Saccharomyces cerevisiae S288C: one gene and its partners. Changing the gene in region 2 together with the main gene of any one other region gives a genetic interaction. Each region holds a gene or a part of one and is shown on either strand. Other genes may lie near its edges. The genes, in order: MEP1, DAL80, INA1 and USV1.

The links.
Region 1: of DAL80 (region 2) and MEP1, extra expression of one rescues a mutant of the other (dosage rescue), as found in Saccharomyces cerevisiae (one study listed by BioGRID).
Region 3: mutations in DAL80 (region 2) and INA1 together harm fitness more than expected from each alone (negative genetic interaction), as found in Saccharomyces cerevisiae (one large-scale study listed by BioGRID).
Region 4: mutations in DAL80 (region 2) and USV1 together harm fitness less than expected from each alone (positive genetic interaction), as found in Saccharomyces cerevisiae (one large-scale study listed by BioGRID).

The regions. Positions count from the first base shown.
Region 1 is NC_001139.9:728,279-737,075, forward strand, and holds MEP1 (ammonium permease MEP1), read right to left. Parts: upstream 4,650-8,797; coding exon 3,171-4,649; downstream 1-3,170. Other genes in the region: FG-nucleoporin NUP57, read right to left, coding at 1-1,393; Golgi transport complex subunit COG2, read right to left, coding at 1,755-2,543; YGR121W-A (uncharacterized protein), read left to right, coding at 5,134-5,349; YGR122W (uncharacterized protein), read left to right, coding at 5,657-6,865; PPT1 (protein serine/threonine phosphatase), read right to left, coding at 8,384-8,797. UniProt on the Saccharomyces cerevisiae protein: Transporter for ammonium (both charged and uncharged NH3 and NH4) to use as a nitrogen source. Can also transport methylamine. The affinity of MEP1 is about twenty times lower than that of MEP2. MEP3 has the lowest affinity.
Region 2 is NC_001143.9:502,245-508,207, reverse strand, and holds DAL80 (Dal80p), read right to left. Parts: upstream 1,311-5,963; coding exon 501-1,310; downstream 1-500. Other genes in the region: DID2 (Did2p), read right to left, coding at 1-269; YKR032W (uncharacterized protein), read right to left, coding at 1,377-1,691; SPO14 (phospholipase D), read left to right, coding at 1,813-5,963. UniProt on the Saccharomyces cerevisiae protein: Negative regulator of multiple nitrogen catabolic genes including the allantoin pathway genes.
Region 3 is NC_001144.5:944,658-954,032, forward strand, and holds INA1 (Ina1p), read left to right. Parts: upstream 1-6,498; coding exon 6,499-8,526; downstream 8,527-9,375. Other genes in the region: high-affinity Cu transporter CTR3, read left to right, coding at 2,596-3,321; BER1 (Ber1p), read left to right, coding at 3,711-4,535; YLR412C-A (uncharacterized protein), read right to left, coding at 5,610-5,816; PUN1 (Pun1p), read right to left, coding at 8,696-9,375.
Region 4 is NC_001148.4:111,368-119,445, reverse strand, and holds USV1 (Usv1p), read right to left. Parts: upstream 4,135-8,078; coding exon 2,959-4,134; downstream 1-2,958. Other genes in the region: CET1 (polynucleotide 5'-phosphatase), read right to left, coding at 1-1,064; YPL229W (uncharacterized protein), read right to left, coding at 1,759-2,379; trifunctional fatty acid synthase subunit FAS2, read right to left, coding at 5,131-8,078. UniProt on the Saccharomyces cerevisiae protein: Transcription factor that participates in the transcriptional activation of glucose-repressed genes during exponential growth in non-fermentable carbon conditions. Also involved in salt-stress response.

The DNA of each region.
Region 1 (8,797 bases), on a different chromosome or scaffold from region 2:
TAGCCAAACGTGCCCAAAGTTCGTTAGTCTTACCTAAACCTGCAGGATCTTCGCTCCGCTGTAGTAAAGTTTGGAATTGCGACCACATTTTCTCTTCTGCAATACCCAATGGCAGTCCTCTATTTTTCAGGGTTGCCAATTGTGTGCCCAATTTTAAGATTCTTTTTTCAATTTCAACATTCCTTGATTGTGCCTTCAAAATTCTGGACGCAGTGTCCAATTCATGCTTTTGTTGCAATTGTGTGGATTTCTCTAAAATATGGTTCAAAATTATTCTAGCTTGGGCTACATTTTCAGTCTGTACTTGATTACGTTGATTCAAACCCTCAAATCCATATATTTGAATGGGAATTGTCTGAGGGGAAGGTTTCTTTTCCATTGCCTGATCCCACTCTTCTTGAAGTACATGTCCTGGTTTTGTATATAAAATGGCTTCCGTTTCGTTCACTTTATTGTACACGAAAGCCCTGAGTTTTGTTTTCGTTGTGTTTGGATCCCACGATTCTTTACATTTCAACACCTGTTCTTGAATTTGCTGCGGATAATTAGACAGCTGCTGTTGTTGAGCAATTGCTTGCGTTTGTTGCAACGGTACTTGAATTTGCTGCTGCTGCTGCTGCTGTAAATTAGATCCAGTTGAAGGCTTAGACCAAGCAAATGATGGTTGTGTGGATACCGTGTTTCCAAGTCCGGGCGCAGTGTTTGTTTGAGGCTGCTGGGATTGGCCAAAAAGGCCACCTCCCCCAAGGGTATTGTTATTCTGGGTGCCGCTTCCAAACAGGCCACCATTAGTTGTTGATCCTTGTGGCTTACTGCCAAATAGGCCTCCCGTAGTCGCTGTAGTATTCTGAGGCTTTGCACCAAAAAGTCCGCCTGCATTCATGTTAGATGTGTTTTGAGTGCTATTGCCGCCCATCAGTGAGCCAGTGGATCCTACTTTATTACCAAATAAACCCCCACTTGTGGTACTATTGTTTTGTGCACTGTTGCCGAAAAGACCTCCCGTTGTGGTAGTTGGCTTGTTTCCAAATAACCCACCTCCAATGGTGGATTGTTGAGGTTGTGCTGTTTGTTGCCCAAATAAACCTGTTCCAGTAGCTGTAGTTCCTGAAGCGGTAGTGCTTGAACTTCCTAGGCTGCCAAGAGCAGGCTTATTACCGAAAAGGCCTCCACCTGTACTACTTTGTTGGTTACTTCCAAAAGTATTTGTGGCCTGATTTGCACCAAACCCTCCGGTAGTAGCCGTCCCAGAATTTGGCTGGCTGCCCCCAAAACCAAATCCTGAAGCCGAAGGTTGAGTATTTGTATTGTTATTGTTTTGTCCAAATGAAAAACCGGTCGAACCAGCTGGTTTATTTCCGAACCCGTTATTACTACCGCTGAAACCAAACATGTGATCAATTGGTCAACAAGGTATGTCTTTTGTTACTAACGAGCGTTTCTGGAATAGTTTGAACGGGATAATCCTCGATTTAGTCTTTCAGTCCCTTTGGCAAAAAGTTGTTTACATCGACTTGGAGAGTTGGACTTTTGCTTTTACTCATTTCAAGAAACAAAATTTTTGAAAATAATCCATTTCGCGTACGTTCAAAATGATATAATTACACATTGGCAACAATTATTTAGATTATATCACGTAGCTATTGTACTATTTTCCTATGAGAGAACTGCTGTAGCCATGTGGGATGATCATGCGGGCAAAACTAAAATACTTATATCAGTCCACAATTGAAGTATGGAAAGTTTTCTCCCAACTATGCCGTTTTTATAATGGAGACTAATGTCAAAGATAGGTTTTGCAGGCTTGATGGGTTTTCAAGACACTTTTCGGTCAAGATTTTCAGTGAGATTTGAAATTCTTGCAGAAGGTCTTGATAGTCATTGCGCAGATGATGAATATATGGTGAATTGGAATCAGCACAAGACTCCAATATTCGACGAGATGCCGTAATCAACTTATACAACTGCTCAATCAGGCCAGAGCAAATTTCTTCTTCTAATGGTTCTATACCGCACATTTCATGGAGAGATTTACTCAATCTCTTTCCAAGTGAGAGCGCTTCTGTCAATTGTGAATGGTTACGCAGAGAGCCGTAAATCTCATCTAACTTCTTTAGGTATTCCAGGACATCCTTTATAATTTCTTGTGTATTGCTGATGTCATCCTTTATCAAATGATCTAATTGAGTCATAAATTTTTGAAGATCACTTTGTGTTTTCTCTAAATTTATTAGAGTTTCATTTTCTTCATCTGTATAGGTATTGGAAAAAGTCAGATAGTCGTCGTAGTTACTTCTTATTTGTTCTAATAATGTTTGTACCATTTTTTGTGAAAGTCCAGACAAATCTCTAATAAGGGAATCGAGAGGAAGGTAATGGAAATTTTTCTGCACTAGGAATCTGTCGACATCAAAGTTATCAACATCGGTCCCATTAGTCTCGGATTCACGATACTTCTCTATTTCTGTTGCGAATAACTCTTTCGATATTTCTGCGGTTACCGGTAAATCTAAGTCTAGTTCATCATCATTCAAAAAGTCCATTTCGCCCTGAGAGAAATTGCGACTATGACTGTTGACCATTCCCTTTTCATATTATTTATTATTCTATATTTTTTCTAAGCTTCATTTTCTTGTCCTGTTGAAAATTCCATGAAATCGAGGTAAAGGCCCGAGCAATAATAATTTTAATTTAAATAAGGCACCCTCATAAAAACGGTCTTACATCCCATTATACCTAAATACGTATTTTTTGGATCTAGAGTGTTAACTATTTCACGATTACCGGTTGGTGTACTCAAATAATTAAAATGTTGAGGACTAAGAGAGCCTATATTTTCTCGAGAACATAGTCAAAAAGACTCCATGGCCAAGTTGGTTAAGGCGTGCGACTGTTAATCGCAAGATCGTGAGTTCAACCCTCACTGGGGTCGTTTTTTGCTTGAAATGAGCAACATTGGAGGAAGATTTGTGAAATCCTCCAGTTTTCTTTTTTTCCTCTAGGTTTTAACGAATGTGATAAAAGATAACTAAATAGGAGGGTCATTAAAATGCTAGGTAACGTATAAACAATGCACATCTATACATATATGAAGGTTTGAATAAGGAATAAATAACACGTGCTCATAAAAAATCAAGAGAGCCAAGCTGGAAACAAAATCAATAAACCGTTTACCTATTGGCAGGATCTTCTTGATGAATTGGTAGGATCTTTTCGGATTGAATCATTTCTCCATTCCCATCCGAGGAACTATTAGTACCGCTACTGCTACGTTCAGCGGCCAAATGAGCGTTGTTCACCCGGTGATTTACATCAGAGCGTTGTGAATCTTCGTCTACACCCCATAGATAGTAATCTCTTCTCACTTCCACATAATCGTACGCAAATTCGCCAATTTGATCTTCGTCCATACCCGCCTCCTCTGCCTCTTCTGATATTCTTAGCCTCATACCGGGTATGTAGCCGAGCACAAAGCAGATTATTGCAGTTACAGCAGCAGTGTACCCAATGGATGCGGCAATGTAAGCGATCTGCTTATACATTTGCTTGTAATTGTGAGTTACCCAGCCGCCCTCGTGCTCTGTAGTGCCATCCATACCAATGACCCAGTCTGCTCCAAAAAGGGCATTGAAAATTAGTCCTATTACGCCTGCAACCCCGTGCTCAGCTAGAATGTCCATGGCATCATCTACTTTAGCGTAGTATTTCAACTTCGTCGCAAAGTTACACACTACCCCCGCCACAATGCCTTGAATAAGTGAACCGTAAAGGGTTATACAGCCTGAGCTTGGCGTTGCAGCCACCAGCCCAGAAATGATACCGGAGCACAGACCAACTGTCGACCATTTCTTCTCCGATCTGTAATCCAGAAGACACCACGTCATCCCACCAGTAATGGCACTGAGACATGTATTCATGAATGCATAAACTGACCTCAAATTTGGGGATAATGAGGATGCAGAATTAAATAGCAGCCAGCCAAACCACAGTATGGATGTGCCTAGAGTGACCAATGAAACATTATGAGGCCTGAAATTTATCAGTAACTTTTCATTTCTTTTGCCCAAAAACCAAGAGTAAACAAACCCGGAAACAGCGCTTAATATTTCAATGTTGCCGCCGCCTGCCCAATCGAGGACTCCCCATTGGTATGCCCAACCACCTGGTGACCAAATCCAATACGTCACTGGACAATATCCAATGGTAGCTAGAATAAAGAGAAAAACCATGTGCGGTAGCAGCCTGCCTCTTTCGGCAGTGGCGCCAGCGATAATACTTAAGTTGACGCACGAAAACATCATTTGGAAGGTTGCATACGCGAGCTCAGGGTAGGCATCTTCATCGAATTTTTTTCCGTACACGTTTCTAAAGCCAAACGAATCTAGATTCCCAATGAATTTATTATTCGGAGCGGACTTTGAAAAAGCTAGAGAGTAACCCCAGAAATACCATTGCAGTATACCGACCAAAGTCGCCATTAATACAACCCAGATTAGTGCTAGTGCAGACTTCCTTCTTGCCAATCCGGAGTACAAGAATCCCAATCCGGGCACCATAAAAAATACTAGGGCGGCACCTAATATCATGAAGGCCACAGTGGGGCCATCGTAGGTTTCAGTCGTTAAAGGCCCTGTAGTTCGACTCTCCATAGTTTCTACAGTATAAGAATCCGTACTGCAGTTATGTTTACTAAAATAATTCTCTGATCATAAGCCTAAACAAGTTACAAGAGCGCCTATATAAATAAACTACCTTTTAAGTATCTTATTCTGGAACTGCATTATCGACTGGTAAGCAGAAGGTGCTATAGAAGCCTACACCACTTTTCCGATTTTTTTTTTTTTTTTTTTTCAGGAAAAACATCTTCCATCAATACTTTGTCATTTCTTTCTTCTTCTCTTCTGTGCTTACATAGCCATAAGATGTCACACAAGGGTGTCTGTAGCAATTGTGAATCTTATCGTTATCGCAATCTCTGAGATGTCTCATCCAATAAGAGGGGCGCGTGTCCGCAGAGATAAGCAACCAGGGCCTTTTCTTTTGCACTCAGCCTGACAAAGGGAGGGGAGGCGCAAAACAAAGTTCGTGGCAAAGGACAACCGTAGAAGAGCATCGCCATGTTGATTTTGAAGAATGTCAAGACACAAGTACAAGTTATGGATGTGCATCGCAAAGGGAAAAAGGGGAGTGGGGGAAAGAAATACGTTTGTCCCTAAGTGCTCTTATGCTCCCTTTTGTGCTTCAGAGGTTCTTGATCAATTATTAAGAGGGGATAACTCTATCGTATATAACTTTTATCTTAAAAATGGTTCAGGTAGTGTTTATATAGGCTCAGTCTTTCTTATCTGAAAAAAAACAGTACGGGATTTTTTGTGCGCTCGAATAGTGCCGAACTCAATTACGGGCTGTGGTAACACTTGAGATCTTGTCTTCCCTTACAAATAGCTCTAGGGGTGTTGCATGTAGCCGCAGTAACATCTTGAAGAAGTGTACACTTTTGAGGGGACGCCATTGTGTTACGTTCTATGTATTGAATAGTATAGTTTTCAATTTTCCTGCGCTGACGTAAACCGGCTGTAAGAAAAAACGTATAATCGAGAACTGGTTATTCAAAGGTTGAACTTTAAAGTGAAAAGTAGCTCTAACAAAATAAATCATGCGTGAGAATGCAATGTCTACAAAGAAACTTCCCTATAAATTATCTGGCAGCAGCAAAATAACAACTTCCATACCTAATGATTTAATCATACTGCGAAATAATTGCATAAATTCACTGAACAGTTCCTCGTCCAAAGCTGACAGCATTACATGTATAGATACGTGGCTAAAATACACAGAGGGTTTGTTAACCCACAGGTACGAAGCTAATAATGACGCCGCTCTCATTGAAGAGGAGATAGCGATTGCGTTAATCAATGTTGCCGTATTTTATCAAGACATCGGTATTGAAACATTGTACAGAGCTTATGAATCTTCACAAGCGTCAAATAACTTATGGACAACAAGCGGGACCTATCTAAAGAGAGGTCTAGGCTTAATCTGCTTTCTTGGAAAGAATTTTCAAATAAACACAGCTAATGATTGCCAAAAGATGCAGGTTCTCAACGTCCTTAATCAGCTATCATTAGAGTTTCAATTGCTGCAACAACTAGGGATTGTCGTTTTAGCACTGTCTAAACTAAGATCAAAAATCAGCAAGGATGCTGTTGCGGACCTTGAGCCTCAAGAATTGGAAGAGCTAGGCAAGTCCAGTGTCTTTTACGCTAAGCTTTGTATTGGATCTTATAGCACTGCTTCGCAATGCCAAGGAGGCCGTATAGTGGACGCATTATTTATGAATTATTTACAGAGTTTGACCTATCTCTTCCTATCAATCAACCAATACAACAATGATGAGTGCGGAATTGCCATTGGGATGCTCCAAGAATCGATCAAAAAACTGTTAAATATAGTACCCAATTCGCAACTAAAAGAGTTGGACATTTTATCCTCAACCGATATTACAAAGAAGAGGGATCTTATAAAGATGTCGTTTAAAAGGAAAATACATGGGTCTACTTTAAAAAACCAACGGATATTTGAGAAGAAGGTGCCATTTTCATCCAAAGCGTACATGATGCCGTTATTGAAATCTTCATTAGACGATTTTGTTATCCCACTAACGATACTGTTAAGGTACAGATACCAGACAACCAATGAGAATTATTCCTTCAAAACGGTTGAAACCGACGTTTCTAAATTGAAGGAGCTTTTCCCCAGGGGAAAATCGTCAGATATTGAAGGCACTGTATGGAGTTTCCAAGATGGACATCTTACATTTGCAGACTCAAATAATGCAACCCACAATTGCGGTAATTATTTTTGAATTGAATCAAACGCCGTTCGAACGTAGAGGTCAATAGTCTATATGAATAATATTTTTAAGGTCTACTCTACTATGAATTTTGCATAAAAATATACACATGTTAGAATAAGGAAACCACTATCTACTAATCACGGCTAACCACTGCAAACAATGGCATTATTTACTAATATAATTATGTGTGTTGGAGTGAGAATCAATTATAGTCTACCGATCTGGTGCTCTTGTCAGCAGTATATTATTTTTGAGAAGAACTTTCCTTTTTTTTTTATGTATACGTAATGATCAGAATTTTTTAATAAAGATGTACTTCAAAAGCTTTTTTTAATATTCATAGTAGAATTTAGTGAATAATTTGATAATTGTTGGGCTTCCATTGTTGGTAAAGGCTATTATATTAGTTTTGGAATAAAAATTCAACTATCGTCTATCAACTAGTAGTCATACTACCAGTATATTATCATATACGGTGTTAGATGGTGACATAGGTTATGAGAAGCTGTCATCGAAGTTAGAGGAAGCTGAAGTGCAAGGATTGATAATGTAATAGGATAATGAAACATATAAAACCGAATGAGAAATAATCGTAATTGTATTACATAGGGACACCAATTCCATTTTGAGGATTCCTATATCCTCGAGGAGAACTTTTAGTATATTTTCTGTACTAATATTATAGCTTTTACCGATAATTGAATCCTAACAGTAATCTCAAAATTCACCAATTTCCCACAACTATCGCAAAATTCACCCATATTCCAATCTTGTGCGCTTCATGGCGATTATTTCATTATGTTTGGTTAATAAAATAAACATAATCTTGCATTAGAGATAGTTAAGTTGTTGTATCTCAAAATGAGATACGTCAGTATGACAATACGTCATCCTAAACGTTCATAAAACACATATGAAACAACCTTATAACAAAACGAACAACATGAGACAAAACCCGTCCTTCCCTAGCTGAACTACCCAAAAGTATAAATGCCTGAACAATTAGTTTAGATCCGAGATTCCGCGCTTCCACCACTTAGTATGATTCATATTTTATATAATATATAAGATAAGTAACATTCCGTGAATTAATCTGATAAACTGTTTTGACAACTGGTTACTTCCCTAAGACTGTTTATATTAGGATTGTCAAGACACTCCGGTATTACTCGAGCCCGTAATTCAACACAAGTGTAATTTCAATAGCTCGCGTGGCGTAATGGCAACGCGTCTGACTTCTAATCAGAAGATTATGGGTTCGACCCCCATCGTGAGTGTTGTTTTTTTAAATAATTTCCTGGCTGAAGGGAATAATGTTGTTCAACAACGAAGATATTTCTTATTTTTCTAAGAGGTATTATGATATGATACATGACAATAAACATTATGAAATTTTTTGTGAAAGATGTATAAATTTATAAAAAAAAAAAAAAAGTTACTTCCTCCACTTCGTTAGCTCATATTAGTTTCTTTTATTCCCAGACTTTCTGCTTTTGATAATAATCTAGCAAAATAGAAAAGGCATGACTATAAACCAAAACCACCATTAGAATAGGCCATTGGTTTTATATCTGGGTGCTCAACAGCTTCGAATGTCTCAATTATTAGATTTTGGTCGTCATTCCTGCCAGCCTGTAAAATACCATGGCCTGGTACAACATGAATAACACCCCCAAGATTACCTTGGCTATCACAATAGTTTGGAGCACTGAAAACTGTCATTAATTTACCCTTCTGCTCGAATTGCACACCACCCATTCTTAACTCGTGAGATCTAAAAATCTTGCGCAATTTGTTGTTTCTTAGAAATCTATCTGTAATGTCGGGTCCAAAAGCATGTCCTAAACCACGCTGAGAAGGACCCATCCCGTTGGCTTCTTGTGGGTCCGCCCATAGAAGTTCCATAAAGGCGCCATCTCTAGGTGGTTGGGCAAATCTATC
Region 2 (5,963 bases):
CTCATCGTGACGGCGGTTTGTACCCTTGATGCGACCGAATCCACCCGTGATGCCAACTTCAACAGTTGTAATCTTTCATTTTTCTTTCTTATAGCATTGGATGCATATATACGAGATATATCTTCATTTTCATTAAGAGCACGTTTGAGCTTATTAGTTTCCTGTTTTTCTTCCTTTGAGGCTTTATTGGCTTGCTTTTGTAATTGTTTTGATGTAAACTTTAGTTGGAAAAGAGTGTTTTCCAAACCTGCTGCAGAATTACGTGACATTTCTCAGTGCGATGTCTGACTTCCTATACTTTCAAAGTAGCTCACATCTCATCAAACTGCTTTCACATTGATTCGTTTTCATTCTTATCATTTCTTTAGGGGCAATTTTCCAGCACCAGATAAATGGCAGTGTGTTACCCGTTCGCGTAAAAATAAGTGTCACTAAATCATATTAAATTTTATATACTATATCCTGTTATATTTATACTGTCATGAACGCTACATCCTTTCTTAATGTTGTGGGTGAGATTGTACTGAAGCTCTGGAGTGTAGTTCCACTTCCAGTTGCTTGCATTTTTCGTTCAGTTGGAATATGTGCTTTTTGTATAGGTCTGTCACCAACTCCAATTCGCTTATCTTGGTCTTCAATTTGATTACCTCCTCCTCATTATGTAGCTTCCAAGTTAGTTCTATTTCTGGTACAGCGGAATCTGAAAAAGGTGAGGGTTCTAATAATGTTGACAAATTAGGCAGCCTTGTCAGCTCTATATTTGACGTGTATATATCTGAACCGTTGATCTGATAGAGGTAGTTTTTCCCACTAGGTTCGCAGGGGTCCAAAGAAAATTTTCCCCGCTGCGTGGAGCACTCCTTTGTGTTGGGAACGGTTTCCTTTGGTTTTAACAGTGGCTTAATGGACCCGCTCACCATAAACTTTTCCAGAATAGAAACCTTCGGATTATTCGTAGGTAATGAACCACCACCAGTTGTAAGCAGTCTCTTCTTTCTCTTGAATATTTTATTTGGGTCGTTAGAATGGGTATTGGCATTAGTGTTCACATTGTTGTTATTCAGCTTTTTCCTATTTCTTGACTTAATGGTGTCCGTCTTCAAGCTGATAGGCCTTGGTTCCCCGTGCAACTTCAGGAAGAGGCCACATGCATTACAGAGAACAGTACCGTGTTCATCTCTTCTCCATAGGGGCGTTTTGACAGTGAAACAATTCTGGCACGTGGGGTGGTCCTCTCCGTCACAATCATCCACTCCAGCAGCAGCTGAAAGTGTAGGCGAGGGCAGCTTCAACGAATCACTAAGCACCATTCTCTTATATATAATATGATATAATATAATGTAATATAGTATGACGGCAGATAAACAATATCCCGCTCAGTAATACAAAATTACTACTGTCTCAGAAAGAATAACCAAGAGAAAATCGAAAAAACAGTAACTGTATCCAAATTCAAGCTGACGCTGGATGTATATATATACTAAGCAACACTTGCTGATTACAGTCCAGGGATGCCGCCACAATGCAGCGAGATAAGCCCAGGATCGGTTTCTATCAAGCATTCTTTGCTGTTTGATTAGCACTAGTGATAAGTGATAAGGTGGAAACTCGTTATCAACGACAAACGGGTGAAGATTGCTACAGCCCTTTGGGTTGAACAAAAGACACAAACATAACGATGAATACGCCATGGGGAAAGATTTAGTGGGAAATTAGCAGGACATTATAGGCACGACCGGTCACTGATAATTCACACGACGCATTGAGAGGCACGTACGCAAGAAGAAAAGGTAGGATAGATAAACAAGGGTGATGTCTAACGTGTCAACAGCGTCTGGAACTCACTTCGCTCCACCTCAGGCAGATAGATCGGTGACTGAAGAAGTAGATAGAGTAAATTCGAGACCAGATGAGTTAGAAAACCAAGAAGTATTGCGGCAATTACCTGAGAATGGCAATCTGACTAGCAGTTTACAAAGAGAAAAACGAAGAACTCCCAACGGCAAGGAGGCGGAGAGGAAGCATGCATTGCCCAAATCCTTTGTAGATAGAAACCTGAGTGATGTGTCACCGAACCACTCATTAGACCATATTATGCACTCTAATGAACATGATCCTCGTCGAGGTTCTGATGAGGAAAATATGCACCGGCTCTACAACAATCTCCATAGCAGTAACAATAATGTTCATTCTAAGCGGAATTCTAAAAGAGAGGAAGAAAGAGCCCCTCAAAGGCGTTCTTCTTCTGTAGCTTACACCCAACAGCAGTTCAATGGCTGGAAGAAAGAGTTTGGCCACGCTTTTAAGAAAATCTCTGCTATTGGTAGACTGAAATCCAGCGTAAATTCTCCTACACCGGCTGGAAGCGGCCATCGTCATAACCAGCACCAGCATCAACAAGTAAACGAAGAAGATTTGTACACACAAAGACTAGCCTCTGATTTATTAGATTCGTTATTGGCAGGATGCCCGGCCTCATTGTTCGCAAGCACGCAATTTCTGAGAGACGAACATGGGAAGAGAAGGGCTCCTCTGCTATTAGCTAAACTAGATGTAAGAGTGTCTCCCTTGAAAAATGACAACAACATTTTGGATATTACCAATAGCAACCATAACCATCGTGGTAACAACAACAACAATACTGGCGAGAATTCTGATAGGAGACCCTCTATTCCAAGGAGCTCCAGCATTATAAGCATTTCTTCGAATGTGGCGGAATTTATGTATAGCAGGAACGAAAACTCTTTATTTAGAATACACTTGGAATATGGGATTGATGAAGACAGGCTCAAATGGTCTATTATAAGAAGTTATAAAGATATCAAATCACTACATCACAAATTGAAAATCGTCGCGTTCCAACAACTCACTATAAGCAAGCTTTATAGTGATAACAACAGATATCATTCGTTACAACTTCCGCATTTCCCCCATTATAAAGAAATGGTTAAAGAAAGAAATGTAATGGAGAAAAAAGCAGAAAATAAACCATCCTCTGCAGCCTCAGCTCCTCATACATCGGAAAATAACAATAACGATAATGGCAGCAACATTACATCGTTAGAAACTTTATCATCTTCTGAAATATCTGAGTTTAATATAGATAACGTCAAAATGAAACATTTACAAGACTTAATTGACGAACCTGACGATTTCTCCCAACCGATACATTTGAGGCTAGAAAGGTATTTGAGACTACTGAACATTGCATTATGTTTGAGACCTCATGCAAATAGATTGTTTGAATTTTACGAATTATCTCCCTTAGGCAATTTATTAAGTCGTGAAAGTGGGTTCCAGGGCAAACAGGGGTATTTAGTAATTAGATCTACTGCCAAGGCCCAAGGTTGGAGAGTTTCTCATTTTGGTAAACATGCGTTTAAAGACATGATCGACAGACATACTACCAAATGGTTCCTGGTAAGAAATTCTTACCTAACTTACGTGTCGGATCTTTCTTCGACAACTCCTTTAGACGTATTCTTAATAGATTGGAAATTTAAGGTTAGATTTTCTGGGAACAAGAATAACATACTTGATAACGAAAACGAGATCAACTGGATCATTCATGATCCCAATTTAGAAATAAATGACGAACTAGAAGAGTTCGGTATTGAAAATGATGCCAATAATATCCTAGACAAGAATGGAAAATCGAAAACACACCAAAAGAAGTCCAATATATCTTCAAAACTATTATTATTGACCCTAGAAAACAGTGAAAGGAAACTGAAAATTATTTGCAAATCAGAGAGTTCGTTAAAGCAATGGATGAGTTCAATTATCAAAATGTCTACCTCAACACCTTGGTCGAAACCAAATAGATTTGGTAGTTTCGCACCTGTAAGAACAAATTCGTTTTGCAAATTTTTGGTAGATGGGCGTGATTATTTTTGGTCGTTAAGCGAGGCCCTCTTAATGGCAAAGGATGTCATATATATCCATGATTGGTGGCTATCCCCTGAATTATACTTGCGACGTCCGGTGAAAGGCAACCAGGGATTTAGAATTGATCGTATGCTGAAAAGTTGTGCAGAAAAAGGTATCAAAATTTTTATTGTGATTTATAGGAATGTGGGGAATATTGTTGGGACAGATAGTCTTTGGACCAAGCATTCTATGCTAAATTTACATCCAAATATACATATCATAAGGTCTCCCAATCAATGGCTACAAAATACATATTTTTGGGCACACCACGAGAAGTTTGTCGTTATTGATGAAACATTTGCATTTATTGGTGGTACAGATTTATGTTATGGTAGATATGATACTTTTGAACACGTTCTACGAGATGATGCAGAATCTTTATTAGATCAAAATTTTCCTGGTAAGGATTATTCAAATGCCAGAATTGCTGATTTTCATGATTTAGATAAACCATTCGAATCAATGTATGATAGAAAAGTCATTCCGAGGATGCCATGGCATGATGTGCAAATGATGACTTTGGGTGAGCCAGCAAGAGACTTAGCCCGACATTTTGTTCAAAGATGGAATTACTTATTGAGAGCTAAGAGACCTAGTAGGTTAACTCCATTACTAACCCCGCCTTCAGATTTAACTGCTGAAGAATTGAAGAGTTTGCCGATGTTCGAAATTCTACGCGAAAAATCGACTTGTGAAACTCAAATACTTAGAAGTGCTGGGAACTGGTCTCTTGGGCTAAAGGAAACGGAATGCTCAATTCAAAATGCTTACCTGAAGTTAATTGAACAAAGTGAACACTTTATTTATATTGAGAATCAATTCTTCATTACATCAACTGTCTGGAACGGGACTTGCGTTTTGAATAAAATTGGTGATGCTCTCGTTGATAGGATAGTCAAAGCTAATCAGGAGAAAAAACCTTGGAAAGCCTTTATTCTTATCCCACTAATGCCAGGATTCGATTCTCCAGTAGATACTGCAGAAGCCTCAAGTCTTCGTTTAATTATGCAATTCCAATATCAATCAATTTCAAGAGGTGAACATTCTACATTTAGTAAACTGAAGAAACTAAATATTGACCCAGCTCAATATATTCAGTTCTTTTCACTAAGAAAATGGTCGACTTTTGCGCCTAATGAAAGATTAATCACCGAGCAGCTCTACGTTCATGCTAAAATTCTGATTGCTGATGACAGAAGATGTATTATAGGGTCTGCTAATATTAACGAAAGATCACAACTGGGTAATAGAGATAGTGAGGTGGCAATTCTTATTAGAGACACCGACTTGATAAAGACCAAAATGAATGGTGACGATTACTACGCGGGAAAATTTCCTTGGGAATTAAGGCAGCGATTAATGAGGGAACATTTAGGTTGTGATGTAGATCTTGTTGAGTTTGTTGAAAAGAAATTTGAAAGGTTTGAAAAGTTTGCTGCAAAGAATTATGAAAAACTTCATACCCTAAGTAAGGAGGGAGATAGTGGTAACAATTGGAGCGATCGAGAAATGATCGATTCCGCTATGATTGAGCTAGGTTATCGTGAAATATTTGGTTGTAAATTTAGCCCTCAATGGAAGAGTGGTCATGGAAACAGTGTTGATGATGGAAGCACTCAGTGTGGCATAAATGAAAAAGAAGTGGGAAGAGAAGATGAAAACGTTTATGAAAAATTCTTCAATTCTGTGGACTACGGTAAATCATCACGTAAGAGAACGCCTCTGCCCAAACATAATTTTGCATCTTTAGGGCTAACATTCAACCACAGGGCAGGAATTGAAAATGTCGGTATACGAGACCACAAAGTCTTAAGTACTGATCCAAGATTAAGAAAGAATGATGAACATAAAAAAGAGGTTGATGGCTACGGTCCCGATTGTTGGAAAAAGGAATCCAACAAAAAATTCAAGGCCGATGCAACTGAACAGCTAAAGGAGTGGGCATTGAACTCATTGGCCTCGAAAGTTCTTGACGATAAAGAAATGATAAAATCAGAAATTCCAGAAGGATTTTCAAATTATTTGCCCAATGA
Region 3 (9,375 bases), on a different chromosome or scaffold from region 2:
ACGGAGGAACCATATATTCAACGAAATAGTGATACAAATATCAAATACAGGACTACAAATAGTACGCCCTCAATAGATGACCGTTCGTCCAACAGTGAATCCACTACTCCCATCATCTCCATAGAAACAAAGGCTGTATGTGATAATACACCCTCCATTGATACGGATCCGCCAGAATATCGATCTTCTGACCATGCGACTCCTAATATAATGCCTGACAAATCCTCAAAAAATGTTACGGCTGATTCTATTCTTGACGACCTCCCACTTCCTGACTTAACCCATAAATCTCCTACGGACACTTCTGATGTTTCAAAAGATATTCCACACATACACTCTCGTCAGACTAATTCCAGTTTGGGTGGTATGGATGATTCTAATGTTCTGACTACTACCAAAAGTAAGAAAAGATCATTAGAAGATAATGAAACTGAAATTGAGGTATCCCGAGACACATGGAATAATAAGAATATGAGAAGTCTGGAACCACCAAGATCGAAGAAACGCATAAATTTAATTGCAGCAATAAAAGGAGTGAAATCGATCAAACCAGTTCGAACGACCTTAAGATATGATGAAGCAATTACATATAATAAAGACAACAAAGAAAAAGACAGATATGTTGAAGCTTATCATAAAGAAATTAGCCAACTATTGAAAATGAACACTTGGGATACAAACAAATATTATGATAGAAATGACATAGATCCTAAAAAAGTAATAAACTCAATGTTTATATTTAACAAGAAACGTGATGGTACACACAAAGCTAGATTTGTTGCAAGAGGCGACATTCAACACCCCGATACATATGATTCTGATATGCAATCCAATACCGTACATCACTATGCACTGATGACGTCACTGTCAATCGCATTAGACAACGACTATTATATCACACAGCTGGACATATCCTCTGCTTACTTATATGCTGATATCAAAGAAGAATTATACATAAGACCTCCACCACATTTAGGTTTGAATGATAAATTACTACGTTTGAGAAAATCACTCTATGGTTTGAAACAAAGTGGTGCAAACTGGTATGAAACCATTAAATCATATTTAATAAATTGTTGCGACATGCAAGAAGTTCGCGGATGGTCATGCGTATTTAAGAATAGTCAAGTAACAATTTGCTTATTCGTTGATGATATGATATTATTCAGCAAAGACTTAAATGCAAATAAGAAAATCATAACAACACTCAAGAAACAATACGATACAAAGATAATAAATCTGGGTGAAAGAGATAACGAAATTCAGTACGACATACTTGGATTAGAGATCAAATATCAAAGAAGCAAGTACATGAAATTAGGTATGGAAAAATCCTTGACAGAAAAATTACCCAAACTAAACGTACCTTTGAACCCAAAAGGAAAGAAACTTAGAGCTCCAGGTCAACCAGGTCATTATATAGACCAGGATGAACTAGAAATAGATGAAGATGAATACAAAGAGAAGGTACATGAAATGCAAAAGTTGATTGGTCTAGCTTCATATGTTGGATATAAATTTAGATTTGACTTACTATACTACATCAACACACTTGCTCAACATATACTATTCCCCTCTAGACAAGTTTTAGACATGACATATGAGTTAATACAATTCATGTGGGACACTAGAGATAAACAATTAATATGGCACAAAAACAAACCTACCAAGCCAGATAATAAACTAGTCGCAATAAGCGATGCTTCATATGGTAACCAACCATATTACAAGTCACAAATTGGTAACATTTTCCTACTCAACGGAAAAGTGATTGGAGGAAAGTCGACAAAGGCTTCGTTAACATGCACTTCAACTACAGAAGCAGAAATACACGCAGTCAGTGAAGCTATACCGCTATTGAATAACCTCAGTCACCTTGTGCAAGAACTTAACAAGAAACCAATTATTAAAGGCTTACTTACTGATAGTAGATCAACGATCAGTATAATTAAGTCTACAAATGAAGAGAAATTTAGAAACAGATTTTTTGGCACAAAGGCAATGAGACTTAGAGATGAAGTATCAGGTAATAATTTATACGTATACTACATCGAGACCAAGAAGAACATTGCTGATGTGATGACAAAACCTCTTCCGATAAAAACATTTAAACTATTAACAAACAAATGGATTCATTAGATCTATTACATTATGGGTGGTATGTTGGAATAAAAATCAACTATCATCTACTAACTAGTATTTACGTTACTAGTATATTATCATATACGGTGTTAGAAGATGACGCAAATGATGAGAAATAGTCATCTAAATTAGTGGAAGCTGAAACGCAAGGATTGATAATGTAATAGGATCAATGAATATTAACATATAAAATGATGATAATAATATTTATAGAATTGTGTAGAATTGCAGATTCCCTTTTATGGATTCCTAAATCCTCGAGGAGAACTTCTAGTATATCTACATACCTAATATTATTGCCTTATTAAAAATGGAATCCCAACAATTACATCAAAATCCACATTCTCTTCACTTCTCCGATAGACTTGTAATTTATCTTATTTCATTTCCTAACACTTTGATCGAAGAAGAGGGATAACAACAGACGAAAACACATTTAAGGGCTATACAAAGATGAATATGGGAGGCAGTAGCAGCACTGCTGCCAAAAAAGCGACTTGTAAAATATCGATGTTATGGAATTGGTATACCATTGACACCTGCTTCATTGCCAGATCTTGGAGAAATGACACCAAAGGAAAATTTGCTGGTTCTTGCATCGGCTGTTTTGCGCTTGTGGTGGTAGCTCAATGGCTTACTCGTTTTTCAAGGCAATTTGACGTAGAGCTATTAAAAAGACAGAAAATAAAGCATTTAGCTAGTTACTCGCCAGAGGAGTACGTTGTCAAATGTGGAGAAGAGGATGCTAAATCTGATATAGAAGAACTACAAGGCTTTTACAACGAACCAAGCTGGAAAACAACTTTAATTTCCTTACAAAAAAGTTTCATTTATAGTTTTTACGTTTGGGGTCCAAGGAGATTGAACGAGCCAGAAGACGACCTGTTAAAGAAGGTCCTATCATGCTGTACATTAATAACGCCAGTGGATTTGTACCCAACTTTTTTGGATCACATGATAAGAGTTACTATTTTCGTATTACAGTGGGGGTTATCTTATATCATCATGCTGCTGTTCATGTACTATAACGGCTATATCATTATTAGTTGTTTAATAGGTGCTATCGTTGGTCGTTTCATATTTTGCTATGAACCTCTAGGCTCATTGGGTGCTAATGGATCAGCCCAGGGTACAGTGAGTTATGATAAAGAGAGTGATGATCGCAAATGCTGCTTGTAGAAAGACAAAAATGAATAGAGGAAAGCCGAGAGGTTTGTTTCAAAAATTGACGCCTTCCTCATTTTTTTCATAATTAGCTGGTAAAAGTTACTATTTGTAACGACTGCTAAATAACAAATAATTATTCGTGTAAAAATAAATAGCTAATACCACCAGGTGTTCATATTCCATGACTGCATATTTGGGAAACGAGACGGTTTGAACATCCTTAGTTGATGTAAAACTATAATAAAAGCTCTATGGGAAGTAAACTATCTGCGGGTCGGGTAAGGAATGATGCTTGCTCGACGTGTAGCGATGAAAAAAGTGAAAACTTATTTGAACTCTAGAAAACTGCTAAGATCCTGAACTGATACCGAAGTTAATGACCTTGACCGGTCTTCTGCTGTATGGATTTTAAAGCAAGTGGGACAAAGTTTAAGAAAACTGGCAAGAAGGTAGTGCCTGCTAAAGCGTTTGAAGAAATTGTTCAGACAAATAGAGATGTTCTGAAAAAATCAGCATTCCTCTCAGATTTACTTGAAAATTTACAACCGCACCTCAATAACATTAAGAAAATACGATGTGTTGCAATTGGAAATTTCAAGGAGGATTTTCCTGCGACGTACCAATTCGCTCTTCTCCTAGAGATTACTGATTATATAAAAAGTGAGGATGAAAGGGATGTCGTTGTTTCCCTGTATGATCCAATATTTACTAAAGAAGAGATACAGTACTTGAAAAGTTTAGGAAGCAAATGGCTGATAGAGGAAGAATTTTCAGAGAACGATGCAATTGATTATGAATCGGTATTATATTTCCTTCCCCATGCTCCTTTGGATTTAACTGAGAACATACTATCGTCACAGCGACCACACTTATGGCTGGCAAATAATATGATATCACACACCGATAGATACACCAAAGCAAAACTTTGTGAAAACTATCCTAATTTAAGCAAGCTAGTTCATTACTTGCAGACTAACGCTCCGCCAGAAGTTAAAAAAGCACATGATGTAGATGGTTTTGCAACATTCATTCCAAAGAGAAAAAGAAAAAACAGAAACAACTCCTCTAAACTCAAGGTCACACCATCTGATATAGACTATGATTCAATAGCACCGAAGTTTAAGTCCTGCCAAATACTCACCGATTTTGATGAAGGAAAGTATTTGAAGGAAAAACCCTGGATCAATTCCTTCTCTGACTTGACGTTACATGCTATAGAGTACTAACATATCATTCACTACATAGTACTTTATAACTAAACTGTAACCTTTCAGGGCATCGTAACCTGACGCTTTACCATCAATAACGACACGAGACCGCTTTATCTATGATACTGGAACAATCAACATGATTGTTATAAATGTACTCGACAGGATCATGAAAGGATACCAACTTAGTTGCCGGTTCATTGAAATGGAAAGCTCAAGAACGTATACTGAAAGAGAGCGACGTCTACTTTGCCCACAAAAATCTACTCTCTGAATTGAATAGTATTTAGAGATTGCATAATTCAAGCCCTCCTCGAGGAAAGGATATAAATGAAAATACCGTTTTTCCTGCTGATGGTTATCGTCCCTGTCAAGGATACTTCTCGGACTCGAACAACGTTACAGCTCAACTTAAAGAAGGCTAAATACGACAAGGGCGCTTGCCCTAAGAGGAACTGTTTCTAAGTTCTAACGAGTGCCTGCGAAGATCGGTTTTTTTTAACTTCGCGGGCGAATTGATAAATAAAGTTCTTCTTGCAATTTTTTAAGATCAAGGTTGGGGCAAAAAGGACGCAAACGAATGGTTGGGTTAAGAAAGTGGAAAGACCCAAACCTGAAGTTCATTTAGTTCTTGGCGGAATGAATCATTCGAACGGCGCAATACGCTCGTCAAAGAAGGAGGTATGATTTATGACGGTTTGTGGGTAGCCCTCTAAACACGTGGAGAGTAACCTTTTCTGTTTAGCGATCCTAGAACTGCGAACAATGGTAGCTATTCGCTTACTCAACAATATTGTTCTTGATTAATGCATTCAAATATGTAACTTCGTCCCTCATATAAGCGTCTGACGCGTCGTGAAAATTTACCCTCTCAAGAAAATACAAGAGATTACGTAAAATTAGAAACCAAAAGATATGAGTGGAACAGACACATATCACCCATATTTCCTTTTCACGTAAGAAAACTTAAGTACTAGTGCGGTGCCTGCGTTAGTGCTTGTCTTTAGGTCAAACAGGTCATCTTGACCAACTTAGCTTATAATAAGAATGATAATCGATTACTCTAAATAGCATTCTTTCATTTGCGGCATCTTATAACCCACACACCGCATTTAGGACCCGTTTTTTTTCTTTTTTTTTTTGTTGAAAAAATTCAACAGTTCCTATTTTTTTCTTTTCATTCTTTTTTTTTGCCTTGCCTTCGTTTCGAGAATTCTTTTTCTTTTTCTTTAGGTAAGGGACCTTCTCAGCTGAGGCACGGTGGGGTTTGTAATAGTGTCCATTCTGGCACAAATGCATAAGTGATGCTAAAATAGTGATACGTCTAAACAAAACGGTTTGGATGCCTAGCAAATAGTAAAAAGACTTGAATATATCACTTTTATCACTATGTAAAAAAACTGAGTTATATTATTAAGTTTTTTTTGAAATGTTCCCGTTTGACGTGTATTTAGTACAGTATGTTCCGTGGATACTGTTTAGGTGCATTTAAGCGCTCCAGAACTCTCCTTTAAATTCCTGCAGCACTCCGTCAGTTGCTTCGTAAATCCGCCTGGATACCGCCTTGAAGATTAAAGTTCCCCTCAGTACTCGTTTAGCTTGAATCCACCGCATTATGGCCTGGTAAATTCCCTAGTTGCTTTTTTCTATACGGCGTCGTCCCTGGAAAAAAAAAACTTGCCTACAGATCTTAGTAGACAAATTTAACTACGTCAATCTATTGTTCTGCTTAAAAAAAAAGTTGAAATTGTTAAATCCTCAACAAACTTATCGCTTTTCAAGCTGCTGCAATCATAGATCTTACACTTCTACACAGAATTTTTTTTTCCTGTAAAAAGAACGACAAAATATATAAACCTTTGACAATCTAGCTGCATTTACTCACATTAAGCCTTGAGATTTTCATTTACTTCATAATAGCTTGTAGATGCGATGCTGATACAGTAAAATAAAAATTCAGTAATACAGTCAAATTATTGCGATGAATTTTAAAATACTCCTCCCGATTTGTGCTTTATTGACACTTACAACATTTCTGTTGACCATTATTGCAACTGCGGGTTCTACCTCAAATTATAAGCCAATAACGAACATTTATATCGGTGATGCTGATATATCAAAAATCAACGTTACAAAAGTTATGCCACAAGTTGGCCCAATTTTGACTGTGTTAGGTTCTGCTCTAACCGCTCCAAATACAACGGTGGATACCATCTTCGGCGCTCTTAAGGCAATCGCTTCTACCGAAGCCTTGTCTCCTTTACTGCACTTGTTGTCTAATGCTGCTAACACTTCAGCCACATTATCATCTTTGACACAGTTGGCTCCAATGGCTTTGCTAGGAACCAATACCGCTACTACCACGACCTTCTCCGCTCTTGATGAGTTATTGACTACCTCTAAAAACACAACCGAACTCTTGGATGGGTTTAGCACATTGATGTCATCTATGTCAACCAACACTTCTTCTACTTCGGCTTCCTTAGAAAATACTGTTCTAACCCTATTAGTGGATTCGACCAATCCTATAGGCACTACTGAGTCTTTGATCACTTTAAATAATATGACCACAGAAGAAAAGACAAAATTGTCGCCTGTATTCGAGTTATTCGCAAGTTCCAAGAACATTACTGCCACATGCGATGCGTTAGAAACCATAATGAACTCTACCATTCCAACTTCAACGGTCTCCTCATTGTTTTCTAGTCTAAAAACCAGTCTTGCGGAAGGTGGCAATGCTACTGAAACTATTATGCAATTAGGCTCCCTCGTTCCTTCGAGTTTAAAACCAGCTGTCCAAGCTGTTGTTACTCTGTTTGATGAAACTACATCTCAAAATGTAACATTATCCGTATTGAGCACTATGATTGCCGAAAACATTACCCAATCATCTTCCGCTAAAGCTGCCATGGGTGCTTTGACTGACTTGTTGAATTACACTACAAACCAAACAGAGCTGCTAACATCTGTCGAAAGTTTGGCCCTCTCTAAAGAAGCCGCTTCCTCTACTAACCAATTGGTGGCACTTGATGAAATCCTTTCTGCAAGTGCTAACGCATCCACAGTTGTTTCCATAATCCCTACTTTGGAATCCCAATTGGCCAATAACACCGTATTACTTAAGTACGTTCCATACTTGTTCAGCCTATTAGCTGCGTCAAGCGACCCCGTGTCAAGTTTCTCTTCTCTGGTTAATATCACCAAATGGGCAGAAACTAATGCCGCTACATTTATGCCCATGTTGAAAATTTTAAACTCTGCTGTAAACATGACAACTATCACACCAGAACAACTCAAGGAAATGACTCCTTCTATCCTTGAATATCTACACATCCCTGTCATATACCGTTTGTCCATTTTCACAATGTGTCGTGCTCACTTAAACAGAACAATGTACTCGTGTAGCAAGTCACACGCTGTTCAAAACATGGATTTCCGGTCGATTGTTTACAACAACATTGAAGGCTCGGACTTTAAACCTTATATGGATGCCCTGAACATCGGTAAGGACGATTTGCATTTAGATGGTGAATTACAAGACAGACAACACATGTATGTCCCAGCAGTGAAAGCAGCTTTAGCTATGAACTTAATGTGCATAATCACATCCTTCTTCTTAATGGTATTCTTGTTGCTACTAAGTAGACGTTCCGTGGTGAGTCAAAAATTATGGTTGGCATTGGGCTTTATTTCCTGTTGGATATGTATTTTCAGCGGGTTGGGAAGCACAATCTTTAGCGTCATCCTTAATATGATGAAATCCGGCTCCAAGAAGGACAATTACGATGTCATTATTTCTGGCTCTTCTCCATTTTATGGCCTAATGTGGTCTGGATTTGTATTTGCCGTCCTTGTATTTCTCTGCATTGCATACTGCTGGTGGAGCAGCAGAAAGGGAGCTGCCATCGTGGAAGCTGAGAAAGCTGTTCAAGAAAGTGACTCTACTACCTCAAGAATCATTGAAGAACACGAAAGCCCCATTGATGCTGAAAAAAACTTTGCAAGGTAAAATAATAAAAAGAAGATCATGCAACATCACCCCGTAAATTTTTTCAATTCTCCATCCTTTTAATTTTCTTCATTATAATTTTCTGAATTGTATATAGACAATATATTTTAATCATATTTAATATGAAACGGAACACAAAAATTAATTAATAACCTTGCCTTTTTCAAATTCAAATCAATGGTTTTTCCTCAATTGGAGCGTTCGCATAGATGACGGTGGGCCTCGATCTCACGCTACACCATAGAATGAAATTCAGTAATGCTCCAACGACAGCCCCCCACATCAAACCCTGGTAGTTCCTACCAATGCTCATTGAAATACCGTAATCACTATAGTTATGCTTTAGGATGTATTTGATGTATGAGTAAGTGCCCAAACACGAACCTATACTGACTAATAGGGCGGCAAAGGCGAAAAATGAAAAAAAGGCACCAAACCACGTTAGCGGCCTTATGTGGATGATCCAGCGCAATACGTTGAACACTAGATTCACAAAGGTCAAGACAATACCAATAAGAATGGTAATGAACATACACTTGACCAAATTGTTGTAGTATGTCATTTTACTTTTTAGTTTTTCGGGCAAAACAACACTGGCCACGGAATCCATAAGCTCCAGAGCCTCATTGTTGTTGATATTGTCATACACTAATGACGATAGGTTAAAATTCTGGATACCGTGAGGCGAAGAACATGATTGGATGTTATGCGAGGAGTCCACTGTACAGTACGACCAAAGCCCTATATTTATATATGAGGGCAGGCCCAACGAAGATAGCGTAGCAGAACTCAAAGAAGGGAGCACCGTCGATACCTTCATCTGCGACAGATCCAATTCTGCACAGTAAA
Region 4 (8,078 bases), on a different chromosome or scaffold from region 2:
ATATATTTGCTCAACTCTTTGAACAAAGATGCATCAATATTAGGCGTTAGATGGGCATCAAGCTCAGTGAAAACACATTGTGAAGAAACTGGTGGATTTACACGATCTGGGCCTTTCGCATCAATAATAACACCAAATTTCATTTCTAACTCAATGAAGGATCTTAGTTCAGGAGCAATTGAGTATATTGTAGCATAAACCCAGTCCTGTACTGACTTTGTTAAGTCATCATCGGGAATAATGTTTAAAAAAGATGGGTCAATTTTGAGATCTTTCACATTTATACTTTGAAGAGCTTTGATAGTAGGTTTCCATTTTTGTGCCCAAATTGGAACATTCCTGTACTTACTGGGCTTGGAAGACGCAGATATTTCATTCAGAACCTCCAAATCTCTCTTGATATTATTCTTTTTTGATTGTAAAGTAGCTTTCTCTTCAAAAATATTATCTACAGCTGCATTCGCTTCTTCTTCCTTCTTGACCACGCTTCCTACTGCATTTCCCGCTATCTTCTTCTCAGTTTGCTTCTGCTTTTGCAGAGGTACTTGGGTTATATAGTTGCTGGCAATGTTCCCTTCATTACCTTGTTTCGGTATTCTCTGTTCTTCATCACTCTTGCTATTCTGATGAATTGAATCATCAGAAGGCTTTTCTAACTTCGCATTGGCATCACTACCATCATTCATAGGAGGTGATCCGTTGGATAGTAAATTTCTATGTTGTTTATCATAGTCAAAGTCCATTTCTGAATCAAAATTAATTTCTCCACTTGCACCCATTTCGTCATCCGTATCGGTTTCTTCATCATCATTAGATGACTTGCGTGATTTAGGTTTTTGTGAGTGCGAGCCATGACCAGTACTCTCCTTGTAATTGTCAATCGGAGCAGCTTGGCCCGTTTCCGTTTGATTTATATCAGATTCTAAATTTTCGGCAAAAGGTCTGCTGCCATTAGCCGCCTCACTTAATTTTTGTAATTTAACCTTTTCATTTTCATCGTGATTCACCAGATCGTCTAACGATAAAGCTCTTTTTGTTTGAGGAGGGTTGTCAGTGTAACTCATAGTGGGAGGATAGAAATGCTACCAACAATTCAAGGTTTTTTAAAAAAAGAAGTGCTATTCCAGATTCAATTTATAAGGGATATTTTGGAAATATCAGTATAGTATTCCCAGCAGATCTTTCAGTGTCGAATACGCTTTTAATTATCACTCTTATTTGTGTGAACCTATATTATAGATTCATTAGAGGACTTTTCCTTTATTACCATAACTTACGACGAAACTAACTAAAATGTAGGTCTATATATCATTTGTAACGGCACGTTGGGTAATCATGACTGGTACATGTTATATGTTATCTACGCAGGTCCTGTTTCTGGCATTATGTATGGCTTGACTTTAGGAGTTCCAGTAAAACAAGGTTCAAGATTTATTATATCACCATACTTGTAGCCTCCAGGATTATTATGAAACAGAAAAATGGCATGTATTTTTGAAAGAATATGGTTATATGAGTATTTAGTGCTTAGTACATACGTCTTGCGTCTGTTTGCAGATAAAACCCTTCTCCTTTTATCTACATATACTAATTGAATAGTGAACTACATGAATAGAAGAAACCGATAATTAAAAATAAGTAGGAAATGAAACGGCTTGACATAATATAACATAACGTAACATAACATGGACACAAGATTTGTTCAAATGAGGAATATGCAAAAAAGAAATCAAAACAACGTGTTTGTCCATATCGCGATCATTCTTGAACACTTTCCAAAGGATTAAAACTTTGAGATGTATAAGGATTGAACTTCGGCCTAGAGTTGAATATAGAAGAAGCAGAATTTGGAGGTGAAGAAGACATAGAACCAGGATTAGAACTGGATTGCGTGTTCTGATGATACAATGACATTTGTTCAGCGGTCAGCCTATCCATTTTCTCGCATGCTTGTTGTTCTTCGAGAGAAAGTAAAGATCTTGGACAGAAAAATAAGTCATCTTTGAAAGATTTGCAGATGTTGTTCTTGTATATTATGGAGGAGTGGTCTATATCTGGGACAACATAATGCTGAGACGATCTGCTAAAGAGTAAAGGAGGGATAGTACTAGTGTTGGCATTCTTGTTAAGGTTTGAGTTTTCGCTGGTACCGGCCCCTACTAAAAACAAAGGCGGGCTTATTGGTTGTTGCTGTTGCGGCTGCTGTAACGATGACGCAGTGCGATTTTGTTGCTGCTGTTGCTGCTGCTGTTGCTGCTGCTGAAGACGATCATATTTGAAATTCTGGAAACTGAGCGCATCTGGAATAATACCAAAGGGGTTGCTGCTTGCGAAGTTCATAGGTTCTTGGATATTTGGAGGGGTGTTGTAGGGCATCATTTCATGTAATATAAAAAAGTGGTTATATGTGATAGTTTATCTGCTAAAATCGGAAAAAGCGTCATCTTGTCAGTGAAATGAGATAAAAAGCTTCTTTCTTTTCTTTTTCTTATTATTGCAATTAACGGGGGTCCGGGTGAGCGTAAGGGCGAGATAACCATGGCGGTATAGGTGTATATGATCAAGTTTTGAAGTCAAGATGCAGGATTGTTCGTTCCGTATTCACAATCCACCGTTAGTGTTACATCGTAGTTTTTGATGCTACTGTGGGCTGTGTAAAGCAGACGCGGGAGTTTAAAATTAAGTTTTGCGGTTATTTCTCGTTGATCAACGCAAGAGGTCAGAAAGCCCTTTATGCAAGGGATTTTTTCTTGCAATTGCATCTTATCATTTTTGTAGCACTGATTATACATAGCTTGACTCATTTGAAAAATTTTATAAACTGCATTTAGTATGGAACAAAACATAAAAATAAAAAAAGATGCGCACCATAATTTGTTTGCGCATATTAAGAATTATATTAGTTGTAAGATATTTATACTCTACGGAATATTTGAAACTTAGATCAGATTGCCTCGATCAAGTCAATATGTAATCAACACTAAGCCTTTTCTTATTGGTGTTGACCGAAATATCAGACTCTGATAAAGTTTCCGACCTCTTTTTGTTATTATTATCATTGCGATCATCAGTATTCTTGAAATTTTCTCCCCCTTTGCCGCCATTCTTCGAGGAAGACATATTATTGTTTTTATTTCCATTTGGTGGTTGGCTAAATGCCTGCTGATACTGTGGTAAAATAATTGGTTTTGCTTCAGCAACTGTCGTTGACGGAGAAAACGGCGGGGAGAATGAATCAAGATGGTTATTGATATTACTAGTATTGACATTGATATTGCTTGGTCTAATATTGTATTTGTTCATAGTTGTCCGTGCTTGAAAGTCGGCAGAATCTTTATATTTGAAGGAAGTACTTGGCATGGACCTCGGAGGAAAGGACGATATGATTACCTCAGAGGCCGGATGGCTCGTTGAGGAGGGGCTCACATTCAAAGGATACTGCACATCTACTGATGGTAAATAATTGATGGTGTTATTATTACTGGGAAGAGGATACTGGTAGTAACTATCAGTGATTGGATGGGAAGGAAAATAATAGGGAGCCTGTTGATGCTGTTGTTGTTGGTGTTGTTGCTGTCGTTGGGTATTATAAATGGACCTTGGAGAGATGGGTGGGATGCTTCTCGTGCTAGTAATGAACTCCGGCGAAGAATGTATTATTTGGGGCGCTTTTTCGTTTTCTGCCATCATCGGCATGTTCCCGCTATTAATATTAGTTTTCCTGTAAGGATCACTATATGATGTAGATGATGAAGCAGAAGACGAAGAAGATGCAGAAGAAGAGGAGGATAAAGATGAAGAGGAAGGCTTACGCTGGTGCGAGCTGGTAGAATGGTGGTTTTTATGTGCATGGACCGATTCCCGATGCTGTTTCAAATTATCAACTCTACTGAAGAATTTCAAACATGCAGGACACTGGAACGGCTTTTCACCAGTGTGCTTTCTTATATGACGTGCAAGATGTTCCGCTCTAGTGAAGGACATCGTACAACCGTCATATCCGGTGCATTTGAACGTTTTCCTTCGAGCACTTTTGGACCTCTTCGGAGTTGATGCCGCTACACTATTGGTGGCAAAGTTACCATTGCTGCTCGTAAGAACGCCTGCAGTATTACGATTCGTGGTATTTTCCATTTCGTGTTTTTTTCTTATCTTATCACAGTATTATTTATGTGTTAGTAAAAAAAGCTAAGCCAGTAAGTCGCTCCAGATTTTTTCTTTACATACATGGTTAATGAAGCTGTTGCAAAATACTGCAGCCAAGAACTCCTGTCTCTTTCAAAACAAGACGAAACTTTATCTGCCGGGATGAATAAGAATTAATCAAAATTATAGGCAATAAGAGTGGATTGAGATTGTTATATACGGAAGACTGTTGAACGGTTAAGGGGGAAGCCGTGAAGGAGCAAACAAATCTTGAAAAAGAAAACATTTTCTAAAAAAAAATAGAGGGGATAAATAAGGCCCTTAGGGGGACTCAACGGCGGAGAATTCGAAAGCCAAAGGATGCTTCCCACCGCTAAGCCAGGGCGAACGGCAGCGGCGATCGAGGATGCTGGTTCTTTAAGGGCACTCGTCCACCTTCGCGATTTTTCTCTTCCCTGAGTATTTGGCAGAGGCGATCAAGGGGTGGCTCACACAACCAGTCGCAGGAGCGTCGCGCATCGGGTATTAGACCCTATTCTGTACACCACAGCCTTCCAGCCCCTTGCCCCACGCGATTGGTGTAAACAATAGATGGCAGTAATCGTTGAGACAACATAACTACCGGCCGTCCCTGACCCTTTCCCCTCCTCACGGTAGAGACAACAACCACGGGAGGAATAAAAACCGGTGCTGGGCCAGCCGATATCGTAAAAGCCTAATTACCCCAGAGCTGCTACGCGGACTTCTATTCTTCCACGCGTCAATATGCCCCCGCGCGAATTTGTGTGGGCCGACCAAATAGAAGAATTGAACGGTGTGTACGCTCAGGGCCATATGATTATAGACGTACACAATGATTAGGCCAGATCGAAATCAGAGGCTAAAGTAAGGAAACGATAGAAAAATAACAAAGTAATTACTATTATGTCTGATAAATAGAAGCGACACGTTACATATTAAAAGAGGGACTACGTAGTGCTCTCTCTATTTCTTAGTAGAAACGGCGACCGCGACAGCTTGGAGGTCATCGTGAGAAATAGATACCTTCACATCGGTAACACCAGCTTCTTCGGCAGCCTTTTTGGCGTTACCGTGCAGTTCAACGGCTGGAGCGTTTTTGTTAACGCGTACGATTTCGATGTCTTTCAATGCAGCACCACCGCCTAAGGACTTGACGCCTAAGGACTTGAAAACAGCCTCTTTGGCGGACCATGTCCCAGCGAAAGAGCTTTGCACACTAGGCTGCGCGCTGCAGTACTCTATTTCTTGCGGGGTGAAATTGCGCTCGATAAAAGTATCATTTTCAACGTTGATGCTAGTGATTAATTCAACATCTACACCGACGCCACCGTTAGAGACTTTCTCCTTGGTCATGTTTTCAATCATCTTGGCAGTTTCAATGGTGTTAGCATTGATGTAACTGTCCTTGCTTTGGATGTTTTTAGAGTTGAAAGTCAAGGAGCCTGATTTCTTATCCTTAGATACACGGGCTAATGGGTCCAAGTAAACATCCTCTTCCAATTCATCAGTGTATGGAGCATGCTCTTTACTTACGAACAACTTGTTGTAGATCATACCATTATGGAAGAATTTGTAGGCACTTTTCTCTCTGGCACTAACCTTGGCGACATACTCGTTGTATCTGTCTTCAGTGATAGCACCGTATAAGTAGTCTGGATGAACCACAATAGCTTGACCACCCTTTTGACCAAAACCGAAAGAAGTGATGGACACGGCTCTGACACCGTCGGTCTTTAAAGTCTTGGATGGGTACAAGACGTATTCAAATTGCTCCAAGATCTTATCCACGTTATCAGCGTTACGGTTACCTGGAATAATACCACTGTTTAGAATTTGCAAAGCACCATTCATCATCCATGCACCAGCAGCACCCTTTGGATGACCAGTCAAGAACTTTTGGAAAACACCAATGACGGGATTACCTTCAGATCTACCCAAATGCTTCATCATTTCATTAATTGTGGCAGATTCGTTCTTGTCATTAGCCTTTGTGGATGTACCGTGGAATGAAGCGACACCCAAGTCATCAATAGTTAAACCGTAAGTAGCCAGTGCTCCTCTCAATGGAGCAATACGTGGGTCCCTCTTGTAGAAGTCGTTACCCCATTGTTGTTGTGCAGCTCTCAATTGACTTTCAGCTTCGTTGTGGATTTCTCTGGTACGTTCAAGTAAGAACTCGTTTTGGTCTTCGCTTGGAATTTCTTCGGCCTCCAACTTCAAAGCTTCCAATTCGTTTTCTACCCAATCTTTAATCTGAGCTTCACGAGTAACCAATTGGCGCTTTCTGTACTTCATGTTCAAGTTTGGTGAAGCATACTTAACACTGGAGTGGTGTTCACGAGCAGTGGTTAAAATACCCTTACCTGGAGCTGGCACAGATCTACCAATCTTATCGGTGGCGGTAGCAGCCATGGCAACAATACCGTAAATTGGCACACCCATCTTCAAAGCTAAATCAGCTTGCATGATGATTTGAATACCAGCACCTTGAGCTTCCATAAAACCGTTACGGGTAGTGGTGGCAGGTCTGGACATTTCCGCTGGGGTACGACCATGTTCAAATTCTTCCAAAGTGTTGGAAGTGGCCTTCATGTTACCGAACTCAAAGGAGCCTTCTTCTTGGAAATCATCGTAACCACCGACAATACAGATTCTAGCCTTACCAGACAAGATGGTTTCTACACCAATGTCAACAGATTCCACGGATGTGGCACAGGCACCAACAGGTGTCTTGATTGGACCAGATGAGGAAATCAACAACATATTAACCCAAGCGGACATGGTGTTGATAAATGATTCTTGTAAAATATCATTTTGGACAGGCTCATCCTTGAAACGGTCCTTAAACATACCACGTAAGGCAGAAACACCACCCATACCAGAACCAGAACAGTTACCAACCTCAGAAACATGTACGTATTTGTACATTTCGTATGGGTCGGTGATACCAGATGCAATAAATGCTTCCACAACAGAGACCAAAACGAATAATGTGATTGGGTCAACCTGAGAAATGATATCATCAGAGATACCATAAGTCTTAGCATTCCAACCAGTTGGAATTTGACCTGCAACCAAACGGTCAAATCTCAAAGCCTTTGGAATGTATAAAGTGGCACCCTTTAGTAACTTAACAGAGTACTCTCCTGTTTCTGGGATTTCGAAGATATCCACTTTGTCACCATGTTGGTGTTTAAATTGTTCGGCAGTTTCCTTCGAAGCCTCAAATGGTTCCAAGTCTTCTTCGACAATGACTTCTTGAATCATTTCCTTCTTTTCTGGGTTGTAACCATTGAATAACTCTGGTTCGATCAATCTGATACCACTGTGTTCTAGGATTGATGTTTCATACTTGGCCTTAACGTCCTTGTCATCAACTGGTTCTTTTGTTTTGGAATCAACCCAACCAGTGTATGGACGACCCTTCAAATTACCGTTATGGTATGAAATGAAGCCCATAATCCAGGCCATTTCAACGCAACCTTCCAACGAAAATTCACCAAAAGCTTCCATTTCCCATCTTGTTCTGGCCGAACCCCATGGGCCGACTTCAGCAAAACCGGTAACTACAATAACTCTTTCCAAATCCAACAAACCTTCAAGCTCAGCGGGAGCAATTTGTTTAACCTGTTTGTATGGTTTCAATTCTGGGAAGTCCAGTTGAATGTTAGCTCTTGGTTGAATTTCGACTTGAGCATATGCAGCATCAGCGCTATTGCCATTGACAACCTTATGCTCCAAAGCAGTTTCGATGGAAACTGCCTTTCTAACTTCAGAAGTTTCAACCAACTCTTTACGCAATTTAGCAGTGAATTCCTTCAATTCAGGAACAAATTGCAAACCACCATTCAAGTCAGCCATAACAGGTGATTTTTGGCACAATTCTACGACTTCTGGAGTCAATAGACCCA